Struthio camelus: one gene and its partner. The protein of the gene in region 1 purifies or fractionates together with the protein of each later gene. This does not show direct contact. Links are inferred from orthologs where the notes say so. Each region holds a gene or a part of one and is shown in the gene's direction. Other genes may lie near its edges.

Evidence for each region. Proteins that work in one complex are often made in the same cells at the same time.
Region 2: the proteins of RACGAP1 (region 1) and FAM98A purify together in Homo sapiens (co-immunoprecipitation; 3 studies listed by BioGRID and IntAct, with this or other methods). This does not show direct contact. The link is inferred for Struthio camelus from reciprocal best matches to the Homo sapiens genes RACGAP1 and FAM98A.

The regions. Positions count from the first base shown.
Region 1 is NC_090969.1:1,510,714-1,518,116, forward strand, and holds the start of RACGAP1 (rac GTPase-activating protein 1), read left to right. Parts: upstream 1-4,399; 5' UTR 4,400-4,414; coding exon 4,415-4,540; exon of another isoform or gene 4,541-4,557; intron 4,558-5,446; exon of another isoform or gene 5,447-5,498; coding exon 5,499-5,583; intron 5,584-5,857; exon of another isoform or gene 5,858-5,965; intron 5,966-6,064; coding exon 6,065-6,267; intron 6,268-6,661; coding exon 6,662-6,798; intron 6,799-7,013; coding exon 7,014-7,083; intron 7,084-7,297; coding exon 7,298-7,351; intron 7,352-7,403.
Region 2 is NC_090944.1:103,512,715-103,520,260, reverse strand, and holds the start of FAM98A (protein FAM98A), read left to right. Parts: upstream 1-4,546; 5' UTR 4,547-4,735; intron 4,736-4,993; 5' UTR 4,994-5,029; coding exon 5,030-5,082; intron 5,083-7,546. UniProt on the Homo sapiens protein: Positively stimulates PRMT1-induced protein arginine methylation. Involved in skeletal homeostasis. Positively regulates lysosome peripheral distribution and ruffled border formation in osteoclasts.

The DNA.
Region 1 (7,403 bases):
GCTGCCCCGGGTGAGGATGCTGCACCGGAGGGGAAAAGCCCCCGCGGGCGACAGCCACGCTCTCCATCGCGCCCCAGGCTGGGTGAGCCGCCGCCGGCGTCATCCCGGCTCGCCCCGAGCCCATGCAAAAAAGAAAAACAAAAAAAACACAAAAACCTCCCTAAAAGCGGCCGTTGGCCCCTGCCGGCGTGCCGGGTCACCCCCCCCAGCAGGGATTTACGGCACTCGGCCCCGCTTGGCTCTCGCGGCGCCCGGAGCCGCCAGTCCATTAAACACTGAGTCATCCTCGGTGGCATTTAATTTTGCGAGGGGCAGCAGTTTGGATAATTAAAGGCGGCCGCAGCCAAAGCCGGCGGCTGCCGAGAGCCGGGGCGCCGCGAGGCCGAAGGCCGCCGAGGGGTGCGATGGCGCCGTGGGAAAAGCCTTGGGGGGGGGGGGGCGAGGAGGGAGCCGGCTCCGTTTCCGCGGGAAATCCAGCGCCAGCATCCCCGCGCCGCGGGGCCGGATTTTGGGGGGGGGGCTTTTTAACCCCTTCCTGCCCGGGCCGAGGGCCGCCGGCCCGCGCTGTCTCTGCCCGGGTTAGCCGTGTCCTGACGGGATCGCCCGTGGGCAGATGTGCTCTCTGGAGGCCTTGGCTTATTAAAAGGACAAGCTGTTCGGGGAGCTGGTAATAAAGCCGTGAAAGCTGTTACGCACCGGAGTTGAAGGCACTAATATCGCTGCGCTCTGCGTGGGTGAGAAATTAGACAAGAGTTCCTCCGTGCTGATCGGGGTTTTTTTTTTCATTTTTTATTTTTTCCCTCCCCCCTATTCATCTTTCTCAACAATTATCTTTTATTTTGATATCTTTCTATTTAAACCTCCAGAGCCGCGCTGAGGATAACAGAGGCTGAAGCGCTGGAGGAGCGGGCACCGCGCGGAGCGGCCGGCACGGCCGGCGCTGGGGAAGGGGTTTCGGCACCGGGCGGCCCGTCCCGAGGGCCAGGAAGCAAAATCCCCGCTGGCCCCTCTGGCTCCCGGCTCATCCGGTGCCCAGGAAAAGGCCGGTTAGGCGGGACGGATGCGACCCGGCGCTGGTCCGACGCGTTCCCCGGCTCTGGAGCTGCTCAGACCTGCAAAGCCTGGGGCAGAGACCCAACAAACTCATTTCCCAGGAGCCGCGCAGGATGCGCAAGCCTCCGGCGTCCGGCTCGGCTTTCCGGGCTCCTCTTTACCTGCGAGAGGAATTCAGCCAGCGTACGGAGCAGAAGGTGCAACGCAAAAGCCGACAGAACGATTCGGCGACGCCGGTGCGCTTCCCGCAGCGGTAATTCGCGTGATTCCTGTTTTTCACCGATCCTTCACAAAGCGCCTTTAGGCAGCCGGGACTGGCCGAGCCTCGGCGTGGGGCTGCGGCGGCGCCGGGCGGCTTTCGCCTGCCGCCGTGAGACGGGGCGTTCGCTGCCTCCCCGCAGACGGAGCCCGTCGGCAGCGGGCAGCCTCAGCAAAAGCCGAGCCAAGCCGGGAGTCAATCGCCGGCACGTTACGCCGGAGCCGGGGATGCCCGGGGGACCGCCGAGAGGCACCGACCCTCCGCTCCGGGGGGGAGGCACGTCCGCGGGGTAGCTGAGAACTGCCAAGCAGTGACAGTGGTGGCTCTGCGAGAATATAAACGTACCTGAGGGCAGAACGTCTTCGCTTTCCCACTGGGAAAAAGGGGGAGACGCGAAGTAGCGGCTCCCAAACGCCCCCGTTGAAAGGTGGGTTTTGACCAGGGATGCTGGACCCTGCCGGGTGCCCCGGGGCGGCTCCGGCGCGGCGGCCGGAGGACGCGGACGTGCCCGTTCGTCCTCCTCGGTGCTTCCTCTCTGCTCGCCATCCGCTCATAAAGTTTGGGCTCGTTAAATCCCCAAAGGGCTTCCGAGGGGCTTGTGGCTCGGAGCACGCAGCTCCGAGCCCCCCTCCGCTTGCCCGCCTGTCTGCGAGATAAGGCTGGCGGTGGCTTTAATTCCCCGTTCCTGCCTCGCCTGCCAGGTCTCCTGCCCGCTCACCCTTCATACGTACCACACAGAGATTTGGCTGCCAATGGGCTGGAGATAAAGGTCCGGTCCCACCAGACCTCCTTCCTCCGCGCCTGCTCTCTCGACCTGCGTCCGATGTGTTAAACAACCCCTGGCGCGAGCAGCGCAAAACCTCCGAGCGAGCATCCTCCCCGCTGGCTGCCCGGCGTGGGTCACTGCAAAACCTCCGAGCGAGCATCCTCCCCGCTGGCAGCCCGGGCGTGGGTCACTGCAAAACCTCCGAGCGAGCATCCTCCCCGCTGGCTGCCCGGCGTGGGTCACTGCAAAACCTCCGAGCGAGCATCCTCCCCGCTGGCCGCCCGGCGTGGGTCACTGCAAAACCTCCGAGCGAGCATCCTCCCCGCTGGCCGCCCGGCGTGGGTCACTGCAAAACCTCCGAGCGAGCATCCTCCCCGCTGGCAGCCCGGGCTGGGAGCATCAGCAAAGGCGCCGTCGTTCCCGGGCCTCGAATCGCTTCCGCTGCCGTGCTGCAAACCTGCCCAAGAGGGAGCACCGAGGGCCGTGGCTGCGTCTGGCCTTGCTAAAAAGCCTCTTTCCAGCCCTGGCGGCGGAGGCCAGGCTGGATGGAGGCAGCCGGGAGAAGGGTTAGCGCCGGCGCACGCGGCGTCGCTCGGGGTTTGCAGGAGCCCGTCTCACTTTTCCGCCGGCTCGGAGACCCTGCGAGCGGCTTCGGCGCTCCGAAAGCTGCTGCCCTGGATACAACAGACGCGGTGAAACAAACCCCGGGTTGCTCGCTGATGACCCTGTGCCGACGCCGACGGGGAGCTGCCGGCCTGAGCATCGTTTCTCTTGCAAGAAGGTCGAATTTAAATTAAAAAAAAAAAAAAGAAAACAGAAAAGAAAAAGGCTTGATGCAGGCAGATGGGGAAGGGTTTGAGCTTTAAGGGGACTTCCCCGAGCTCGCTGAGACGTCCGCCCGTCGCCCTGCAGCAGCAGCACCGGCCTGGGCAGCTCTTTCGCTTGCAGGTCCCTGGGCACCCCGGTTTGGGAGCAGCCCCGACAGCGTGGTTTGAGCGCGATCGCTCCTAAATCCGTTAAGAAGTGACATCTAAAGTGCTACAAATAACCCTCTGATTATCTGCCGAATCCTAACGCTACTCCCTGGAGATAACCAGCTGCGGTTTTTCCCCTGGGCCATGCAATAATCACCCCAATTACTCCCAAGCAGCCGTTGTTAAACGCACGGCCGACGTTTTCCCCTTTGCAAAGCAAAAAATAATTAAGCAGGTGGCGGCGACCGAGGTCGTGTCTGCTCGCCTGCGGGGAAGGAGGGGACCGTCCCTTCCCTCCGCGGTGACGGGAAACCGCGGGAACCTTAGGAGAAACCTAAGGGTTGGGGGGTGACGCGGGGCGCCTGGGGCGGTTTGGGGCGGCCCGCGGCCGGCAGCACCGCCGTTACCCCCCCCCAGCTTATCTCCCCTCCCAGCTTGTATTTCAGCCCAAATATCAGAGGAAGACGGAAGATTAATTTTTGCCGTTTGCATGGGAAAAAAGATTGGGGGGGGGGGGTGAGCCGGACTCCCGGCGGCTTAATCCGCGGCCGAGACCTGCCGAAGGAAACGGCAAAAACGTCTCGGCGTCGGCGAGATCCCGGCGCGGGGAGGGATGCTCGGCCATGGCCGGCATCGGCAGATTAGCATAAATCCTATTAACGGTTTTTAACCGGAGCAAACATGTCGGTGGAGGCATCATTTTCCCGAAACGGGAGCACTTAATAAACGGCCTCGTTCGTGTGTTAAGAGGTTGCTGGGAGGTTTTAGGTTTTGGTGAATGGGAATGTGTGGAAAATGGAGGTTTTGGGGTTTTTTTTTTTTCCTCCCACCGGCCTCGGGCCGGGAAGCCGGGTCCGCGGATTTCCCTCCTCCTCCTCGGGGGTGGAAATTCGCGTATCGGTCTTGCTGTGGTCGGTGCCTGGAGGCCTCCAAAGCCGCAGCCATCGGCGTTTCCTCGGAAGCGAAGGCGATTTTGGACAACGTTTCATCAAATATCTTCGAGGCGCCTGGGGAGCCTCGGAGGGCTGCAAGGGGCCCATCACCCCCCGCATCTACGGGAGTGGTTGACCGCTGTTCCTGGGCTCGGGCCTCGGTGACAAGCCCGGAGGGTGGCGGCACGGACGAGGCGGGGGACGGACACGATTTTGGGGCGATCTGAGGCCTGTCAGCATCCGCCGCCTGCTCCGTTGCTAAGCAACGCAGGCTGGGACCAGGAACCAGCAGTAAAGATGGCGCCGGGCCGGCTTCATCACGCGGCCTCTGGGGTCCCGTCCGCCCTCGCACGAGGGAGTGGAGCAGAGAAGCCACGCCCTCAGCAGACATGGCGCCGGCTCGGCTTCAGGCTGGCGGTGAGCGAAGCCAATGAGCGGCCGGGAGGGCGGGAGAGCGGCCTGTCATTGGCTGGCCGCTGGGATTCAAACCGAAGTGCGGGGCGGTTGGGCCGGGCGGTTGCAGCCGGCGGGAGCTCGCGCCGGGCCGGCGCCTCAGGTGAGCGGGCGGCTGAGGTAAAGCGGGGCCGCTGCTCGGTACCGGGCCTCCGGGGCCCTCGGTACCGGGTCTCGCCCTGCCAGCGAGGCCCTCGCTTGACCGGGAGGAGCCGGGGGTGGGGGGAGCTGCCTCCGGGCCTCGGCGCGGGCCGGCGGCCCGGGCCGTCCCGGCGCCGGTTTCCTCAGAGATTTTCCCCTGAGGGGGCGGTTGTGGCGCCGAGGGCCGGGCCGGGCCCCGGGGGAGAGGGGGAGGCGGCTGTGGGCACCCTTCGTGCTGGCCTCCTTCCCTCACCCGCCCCCGTCGGGCTGGGCAGCGCCGGGCTAGCGACCCTGCTGCCTTTAATGCAACACACGCAATAAAATAAACCCGGGTTTGCTCGCTGACGACCCTGCTGGATAGAGAAGTCATAGCTGTGTTGCTGAGCTGGAGACTTTTTCTCTTCGTTTCTTCTCTTCTGCTATTGTTGCTGCTGTTTGAGGAAAACATGCTGACTGCCCTGAATTTCAAAAGCTGTTTGCTGTGGGAGCTGTAATTTAAAATGCAGCTAAATTTAAAACTGTATTCAAACTCTTCAGAATGCTGCTCCTATTTTTATCTTATGAAATGCTGAAACCTTACAGATCTTAGTGGCCTATATAGTGCCAAGTTACTCATAGCCTGGGTGCGAGTTATGTTCTGCAGCCTTCCAGAAAGAAAGTCATCTTGTCTTGGGGGCTTGAGCCTCTGTAGTATACTGCAGATTACTTGAAGCAATTACTTGCCTCTTCATATTGCTGTTTTTTTTATCCCTGAACTATGGAGGCATGAGGCTGCTCTTAATGCTCTAGGAATTAGTTGAGATGCATATGTCTTGATTAAAATGCTGTCTTTGTTTGTCTTCTTTGGGCTGCTAACCTCTGCTTGAAGGTGGAAGGAGAGGATTGGGCTGGTTATTTAGGTCCATTTTCTTGGCAGGAAGATGGAGACAGCAATGCTGAATTTGCGGAATCTATTTGATCAGCTTATGCGCCAGGCCGAAGTTTTAAGTGAGGGAAACGAATATCGTAAGTCCTGTCTCTGTGGGTAGTTCCAGTGGGCTGCTCTGTGTTTGCTGTGGGACTATAAACGTGCAAACAAACATCAGTGACTGTTACTGGACAATCTGATGGAGCTGTGGGTGATGAGACTGATGTGGGTAGCCAGACTTGTGTGGGGGTTGGTTGATTGGTTTGTTTTTTCATTGTCTAGAAGGATGAAGTCACAGGCTGAACTGGGCAGGGCTGTGCTCTGCTTCTGTAGCAAGCTGACTTCATCCATGCAGAGTCTTGTATGTTCTAGCTCTTCTGGTTGATGCGAATGTGAAGGACTTGGTCTGAAATCTTAGTGAACATCTAGAGTGCAGTTGGCTTTGCTGAAAGGCCAGCTTGTCTGCCTCTTCTGTCAAGGGTGGGTTACATTGATAGATGCCTACTGTCAGCAAATAGAGGCCTGCTGCATTTCCTCTGCTCGCTTTAGCAACTAAAGATTGAAATGTTTTCTACCCAGAATTTATTCAGTTAGCAAAGAACTTTGAAGAGTTTCGGAGAAAGTGGCAGAAAACAGAGCATGAGCTTGCCAAGTACAAGGATCTTCTAATGAAAACGGAAACTGAACGTAGTGCTCTGGATGTGAAGCTGAAACACGCTCGCAATCAAGTGGACGTGGAGATCAAACGAAGGCAAAAAGCTGAAACAGACTGTGAGAAGTTGGTGAGTAATTCTTCATTACCCAGTTAGCTCATTAGACTGCAGAGAGATAGTGGTTAATCTGCATTGATCTATAGAAAATAAGGACTGGCAGCCAAGATAATTGTTTTTTTTTAAAAAAAAAAAAAAAGGGGGGGGAGGGGGCTTGGCTCCTTGTAGTAGCCTTCTGCTTTGAATAGCCTTTTTATAGGCCAAAGCCTATCAGCTGCTGTTTACAGGAGAGCTGCTGTTACCTAGCAGAGCATGGGCTGCTGTCGCTTTGTGGCCGTTAACGTTCTCCTGAGACAAGTTCTGAGAAAGACGATCTGTGCAGTATCTCAAATACTCGAGATTGGTTCATACGGTAATTAAATGTAGTCTATGCTGTGGCAGCTTCTGATGCTACCTACCTTTACAGGAGCGGCAAATACAACTGATTCGAGAGCTGCTCATGTGTGATGCCTCTGGGAGTATTCAGCTAAGTGAAGAACAGAAATCTGCCCTTGCCTTTCTTAACAGGCCACAGGTTTCTGTAGGGGGTTCAGGTAACAAAAGGTAGGCAAAAGAGCGTTTTGTCTAAGCAACATAAGTAATGTCAATTCAGCTTTGTGTACATCTGTGATCCTACTAACACTGCATTCATATGAGCAGAGTTTCACTCTGTATTCCACTTGGAAATAAAGCTCTTATGAGTCAGTAAGATTGTTCTGGAACTGTGGCTCACTGAAAGCCTAACTGACACATGTTTCTTCTAACTTTTTTCTTTTTAGGCTGTCTACAATTGATGAATCTGGCTCAATTCTGTCAGATATCAGCTTTGACAAGACTGATGAGTCACTGGTAATGTAATGCCAAGTACTGAAGCTCTCTTCAACTATAAAACCTTAAGGGTGTGGGGTAATCTCCAGAGAAGCATTGTTTAGAATACTATGGTATTAAATTGGTAGAGCTGATCTGCATTTCTTCAGTGTGCTGTTGGCTAAAAGGTAATGAAAGTCTGGCCGGAGGCTATATGGTATTTACACTGAGCTAACCAGTGGTGTGTTTCCCACAGGACTGGGATTCCTCTGTGGTGAAAGCTGTTAGACTGAAAAAGAGAGAAAAGCGGGTATGTTGAATTCTTTCCTTCAGATGGGTTCCGTTGTTAGCCTTAGGTGACA
Region 2 (7,546 bases), on another chromosome or scaffold:
CAACCACAGGGCAAACAGACATGACTGTGAAAAGATGAATGGACTTTTTAATACTGTGAAATAATCTTGCTGTATTGAAATAATGCCCACCTTAATGTCATCATCTTCAGCCAGGTTTCCTAAGGAAGCGAGGCTTAAATTATCAAGGTGCGTGTCTTTGAACTGGATGACCCATTCCAGGCGAGTTTAACAAGCCTCCTACACATTGAAGGCCAATCCTTTTGGTGCAAAGCTGAAGAAGAGGTTGCATCAGCTCACACTTTATTAGATGCTCGGGAATCCTCACAGGACAAAGTCCTGTATCTTCAGTCAGAGCTCACATCATCCTAGACACCAAAACCAATCAGTCACAGCAGGCAAATCCACAGGAAACCAGTTGTGTGTCTGTTAAATGACAATTGGCATCAGATCAGTGGAGCGTTTCACACTTCTCCAGATTAAGTGTTCCTGGCTGCTGTGCAGCCTCAGGCTATGCAGGGACTGCCAGCTTCCTTGACCTGCACCTCACATCCTGAGAGCAGCTGACCAAGAGCCACTGTATGCATGCCACATCGTTCCAGGACTAAGGGGAAGAGGGGGCCAAGGAGGAGTTTACAGGGGTCCAGTCACAGTGGATGTGACTGCAGCAGCCTCTGCTGGTTTGGTTCTTCCCATAGGGGAAATAAAAATTGTTACCCCGTAACTCTTCCCACACTGGCACAGCCTAGCTGGCCACACATGGCTCCAGGCTGCAGTTAAATCACCTAAGGATTACACGGACTTCCCAGAGCTACACCTCTCGGAGTGAAGGTGAGAAGGCGCGGAGCTCTAACAAACCTCAGTCAGGAAGGGAAAAATGCAAGGCAAGTTGAGCTCAGTTCTGCAGCCTGAAAATTCTTTGGAATAAGGCAGAAGTCTTCTGAAGCCTTTGGATAGCCCATAAAAATCAACGACCCCACTTACAGCTCTTGAGCGAGCTGACAACCTGAGTCCACGCTACTCTCAGAAGTAACTGTTTTGCAGAGCTACGGATCTCATTGCTTAATAGCAAACTGTTTGGGGCAAGATTAATTTGTTTCTGAGAAACACCATCCATGCACATTGATATTGCTGTATGAGTGATCTTGGCCGGCTATCCTTAGCTGAGACATGGGACATAAATACTTGTGGCTGAAACACTGATGTTGAGATAAGTCAACAAATCAGTCTACTCAGCTTTTAGTCAAGCTAAAAGTCTTGCTGTCAGATCATGTACAGAAGTCTAGTTTTCTTTACGTAGCACTTGTTTTATTCAGGCATTTTTTTTCATGCAAGTTTGACATTCTGGAGAATTCTCTAAGCACCCATTTAATAGGGGCCAGCCTGAAAAGGTTCGGAATTAGTTTGCACTTTTTTTTTTTTTTTTTGGACCTGGAATTGCAGTACAAATAAACAGGCCCTTACCCCCTGTTTGTTCCTAATATAGATCTAAACGACCCTGCCAAAGTCAGCGGAAGCGTTCTCTTGAGTTCAGGACTTGCTGCTGGGGAATATTAGATGGAAGGTGAAGCAGTTAGTACAAAACTAGTTTCTTCTTATGCCCAAAAGACCACGGTGAACTAAGTCAGAGCAAACTCCTCAGAGATAAGTGAATTTGCAGGTACACTGACATAAAGCGGTTTTGTTAAATAAAGTTCTTGCAGCACATTTGCAAAACACATGCTTTCCAATTCTGTCTTCTGTAAGGAGTATGGCAAAAACACATTATGCTGGAGTTGTCACCTCACAGGTAGCCTTGCTGTTAAGACAGGAAAGTCACATCTTTGGAAAACATAAAAATAGGGGCAGAGGAACTCACTCAATTGTACAGTTAAACTAAGAAGACCACAATGTATTCAACCAGTAAAAACACTGTTTGTAGTGCCCTCAAAATGAGCCGTATCTACGTAGCTAGTTAGTTCATAGGACAGTGATGCATATACAAACCAGACACACCAACTGAAATCAGGGTATCACCTAGCCCAGTATTGCACTTCCAACACTGGCCCTAAGCAGACGCTTTGAGAAGAGTAAGAACAGGAAAAACACATATATTACTCCCCTCTTTTTCCCTGCCCATATATTCTCCCAGCTATTTTCAACTCTTGGGATTTCCTGATACTGACGTAATTTTTCAGTTTAGTAACCATCAATAGATCTCTTTTCCACATACTTGTTCAGTCATCCCATGAGTCCACGTGATCTCATAGCCACAGTGTCCTCAGCAGATGAGCTGCTGGGATTTGTGCCAAAATTGCTAGCCAAACAGCAGCCAGCCCACGCTTAAAGAATATTTGGCTTGTGAATGACCAACGTTTTGGGCAAAGTCTCTTCTAGTTATTTGGGCCACAAAATTAACATTGCTTTACCAGCTTCCTAGTAAAGCTCTACTTCCGATGGAGGAGATGAGCTCAGGAGGCTCACCTGGTTTCAGCACCCTCACCTACCAGTTGCATGCAGACTCCAGGACAAGGGAGGTGCACAGAGATGTGGCTCCGCAGAGACCTTTCCCAACCTCACCCCAGTTCCAGATGCAACAACATTTGTGCAGTGCCCAAAGCAGCTAACAGCGTTAAGGGCTTTCTCCATCTCGAACACCGTAAGGGCTTTCTCCATCTCAAAACAATGATTGCTGTACACTGTTATCACAGGACAGCAAAAAAAAAAAAATTCCCTTTGGATCAGTTGGCCTGCAGCTGTGGAAAGCCATCAATTGCAATGGAAGAGTAATTAGCACTCGTGAAAAACTACTATGCTTTGTGCACATCCAATTGTGTAAGCAAGCTGAACACAACCATTTTATTAACAAGTGTCACAAGGCTTCAACTGCAGTGTTGAACTTTAGACGGAAAAAAACCCCAGCTTGGTCTGCTCATCCAGGCAGGGCTCCAAGACTGAATATCTGAGATATTCTGAGTAAATCCAGGATGAATGGACTAAAGTAAAAGCAGGAAATTCTTACAGACATGTTTTGCCCAGCAGTAATAAGACAGCTTGCCATGAGCATAATAGATGATCTGATTTTTCAAACTGAAATTGCCTATGGTTACTCTTTACCAACCATGACACAACTAGAAGTAAACAGGCAAAGAAACAGGAATGCCGGCATTATTCCTTTCACATGTCAGTTCTTAGTCTTTAGGAGGTAATTTTCCCCTGAACTAGTAGTCTGACCTATTTTTAATGGCAAAGCCAACAACTGAACCACCTATTTGTGAAGCATGACTTCTTTCTAGTCCTTTGAGGCACCGTGTTCCTTCTTCTCACCTATCTTGAGGCTACAAGCTACTTCCTTGTTTGACTACAGTTCTTCTTTTTGCTTGCCAAGGGTGATTTCATGAAGTGCAGGCAGCCAAAAATCCTCTGCTGGAACATCAGCTCACTGCTGTTGAAGGGCTGGAGTTATTTTCAGCGTCGGCACTCTTGGCTTTCACTGACACGGCCTGGCCTTTACAACACAACGTGCTCTCCCACGCACGCTTCCCTTTTAGCGCTGACGTGCTTTCTGTGGAACCGCTGTGTCCCAGGCAATATGGTAATACTGACAAGAAGAACCAGAAAGACCAGGCAAAATTATGCCCTAGCCCACATCTGAGCTTTCTATTACAAACGCTGCATCTTTATCCATTTGCATGGCTTTCCCTTCAGAGCATGCTGGCAACTAAGCAGCTGGGGGAACTGCACAGTGTTCAGCAACTTCCTTTCCCCCCAGGCAAAGGAAGACTTAAGAAAGCTGCCAGCTCACAACCTTAAGGAGTCGTACTATTAGCATAAAGTCAGGCAGACTCTGTTCCAGCCAGCACTGCTTTAGCATCTTCAACAACCAGGTTACTTCTAGGACAGCGGCACATGGCCGCAGCCGGCACCTGCCAAGGCACAGCCTGCCCTGGCCCCCGCAAACCTGCCGAGAGACGAAGCAGACCCGCACTAGCAGCAGCTTCATCTTTTCCTGCCACAGCCGCACTTTCTACCACGAGCCCCTGCCCCACCGTCCGGGCCTCCCCCCCAGTGCCGAAGGCCCCAGCCTTCCCTGGCACACCGGGGCCCACCCCACCGGCTCTTAGCTCTGCGGGCCGCCTCCTCCCTAAACCTCGGCCACCGGCCCCAGCTCCAAAGGGACGGCAACCCCCCTCCCCCGCACGGCAGCGGCCAAAACCCTGCGGCCACCGACGACATGGCGCCGCAAGGAAACCCGCGCCCCACAGGAAAACAGGAGGCGCCGCGCCACCCTACGGCGGCCGCGAAGGCCACGAGGAGCGTTGTATGCTGGGATTTGTAGTCCCCATGCTGCCGCGGGGGACCTCATAGGCGGAGAAGCGTTCCGTCACTGATGTAATTTGACCCTTCTCCCGCCCCGTCTCCTTCTCCTTTTCTACCCTTATGGGCTCTACGGCTCACACCAGCACATTCCAGCGTGGGTTCTACGGGAGGGAGGGGGGGTCCTTTCTCAGGGACTGCCCGCAGCGCCGCCTGAACAGAAACATGGGATCCTTCGCTCGCCTCCGGCTTCCGTCCCTCAAAACACTTAGGCGCCCGCCTGGACGTCTTCGTCTCGTTTGGCAACGCGGCCTGGTGCGGCGGGGAGGCAGGAAGTGCGGCAGAAGCAGGCCAGACCGATCAGGCAGCGCGCTCGGGCAGCCCTCTGGGAGCCGGGTGAAGGGTCATGCCGGGGACCTGCTCCCTCCCCCACCCTGACATGCCAACCCGGCAGTCGGCGGCGTAGCAGCGCGCGGGCAGTGTACGTGGGGGCCGGCGGGCGGCGGCGGCGGCGGCGGCGGCGGCGGCGGCGGCGGCGGCGGCGGCGGGGGGGGGGGGGGGAACGCGGCGCGGGGGGCAGGGCGGGAGCAGGCGCGCGCCGGCGGGCGGGCGGGCGGGCGGGGGGGGGTTCGGTGGGGGAGGGGGTAACGGTCGAGCCCCCCTCTTCCCCCGCCATGGGGAGAGGCGGGGGCGGCGGGGCCTGCGGGTGGCGGGGCGCTGAGTGCCGGCTCTCACGCAGGTTTCCCCCCCCCCCCTCCCCGGTCCCCGCCGCAGGATGGAGTTCGAGCTGCTGGAGAGCGACGTGCTGGAGTCGCTGGAGGATCTGGGGTAGGTGCCGCGGCGCCGGGGGCTTGAGCACCGCCCTGGCCCCGGGCCTTGCCTTGCCCCGGCGCCGCCGTCGGCTGGGCCGGGGGGAGGTGGCGCGGTTGGCGGGTGATGGCCCCCGGCAAGGGGCCCCCGTCAGGGGAGCGCGGCTGCCCGCCGGCGGCGGGGGGGGCGGGCAGGGAAGCGGGGCTCGCATCCCCCCGGCGCTGCGATGCCGGGCAGAGCCGCAGCCGGGGCTCCCCGGCTTCAGCCCCGGCAATATCCCTTTCCTCATGACCACCTCGGGGGGGGCCGGCCCTAAAACCACCCGTGGGTAGTGTCGCTTTGGCGTAAGGAAACGCGCGAAGCCAAGCAGGCTGCTTTTAGCCGCAACGTCTTTGCAGAGTTTTTGCCCCCGTGGTGAGTGTTGGTTGCCCAGACTCTGGTGATGCCCTTCCTGTCAGTAGAGCTCTCCTGGCTGGAGGTGGGGAACGAGGAGAGAAACCTTGTCGGAGAAGTGAGGGGAGGGGAAAGCGTTTGGGCTTCAGTTCTTGTGGAAAAAAAAAAATTGGTAAAAAAAAAAAATAAATGACGTAGTATTTTCCCTTTAGCTGCTTTTTTTTAGAATGTAATGCAAGAAACTTGTGTTGTTTAATCCTGCTACTCTGTCAGAGTCAGCAGAGGTTGTAAAAAATATGCGAGAAAGCAAGCGGAACATTGTCGTAGTGTAAGCTTGTCTGCCTGTAAACTGTTGAGGGCTCAGAAAAGAGGCCGTTGCAATTTTACTGCTGCTGGTTCTGTGCAAACAGCTGTATTTTCTCACATTGGCTGCATTCCCGTAAATCACTTTGTTGGAGCATAATGACTCTAGCCACAAAGATTATGTTTCCAGGCTAAGTTGGTGATGATAGCTCCAATGCTTGACAAATAGGCTACTGTTTTTGCAGGTATTTGTTTGACTGAAATGTGAAAAGGTCTCTCTCATGTTGCAAATACCGTAAACTTCTGCTTTTTTTTCCTGCCACATGTTTGAAAGGATATTACTGACTTGAAGGAGTTATGATTTGTGTAGTAATCACAGAAGTGATTAGAAACTCTTGCTGTTGATTCTTGACATATTAAAATAAAGCGAACAAGCCAAATGGAGTAAAAAGTAAGTCAGTGATATCAGTGGTGATATTGGCAGCAGTGTTTGTAAAGAAAATTTGGGGAGCAAAAGACAGGACTTCAGCAGTAACAGGAACAACCTGGAAGACTGCTACATGCATGCAACTAAAAGATTTCTGTTAGTTTCCTTGTGTTTGTACAAGCTTGGGGGCTTGGGGTTTTTAAGCTTTGACAATAATTCCATTATCCTTTGAAGTTCAACATATTTTTTTTCTAACTAAATGCTGAAGACTTACTTTATTGCTTGATTTTTGTTTAATAGCATTGCACATCATAAAATTGTTTGTTTGTTCTTGAAGTTGTGTGAGAACTGCTCAAACAGTGGCCTCTTCCCTTTTAAGTCAGTTTGAACTATTGAAAAAGCAAACAAATCCGATATCAAAACGCTACTGAAGGAGAACGTAGCTCGAGAACGTACACTGTGGGAGAGGGGGAGGAATGGAAGCATGGGCCTGAAAGCTTTTAAAGTGCTTTAGAAGAAAAAGGCTGGCGAGGAAGCTGCAAGTTGGATTACTGGCTGAATAGCTGTATAGTTGAATCATGGTTATCGGAAATAATATAGTTAAGATGTCATATCTATCAAAGAAAAATTTCAGAGAAGGAGCCTCTAACATGACGAGCAACTTAAATCCAGATCCTGCCAAAGCAAAAGGCTTGTCGTCAGCTCTGCTTAGAGCTATAACTTGATGTTTCTATTTTGAGTCTTGTGTGTTCCTATACACGTGTAAGTCTGATGAGTCTGTGCGGTGGGACTTAAGCTTACTCTAAGTAGCCTGTTGGAATTGCATCTGGCTCACTGTGGTAATGCGGTGGGGCTGAAGTAGATCAAATTATAACTTCCCATCAGCTCCGTATCATTAATCAAGCTGCTCTTTGGAGTAAAAGTTACTTGGAGTATGGCTTCTTCATTTTGGTTGGGTGAAGCTATTACAGTGAAGAGAAACCCTTTATATGTAATGTTAATCAAAAGAATAAAGTATGGAAAAATAACATATTATTTTACTCTTTGAGAGATTTGTTGCTTCGGAGATTGGCCAAGAGTTGACTGAACTCACTGGGTCGCTGTGACTTAATGGGTAACTTTACAGTGGAAACTTGAAATAGCAATTTCAGTTGATTATACTCACTCTTGGATGTCCTTCTGTTTTGAGTGCGGTACGCAAAAGTGATATTGTGGATTTTATACTCTGGTAAGCTCTAACTTTGTTCCTCTGCCTGGGTAATAAGGCTGTTTCTCCCTCCTCTTCACCCTCCTCTTCCCCCCAGCAAGGTACACAGACGTCCTGAAAACTACATCTTTTAAAATCAGTTCTGTAGAATC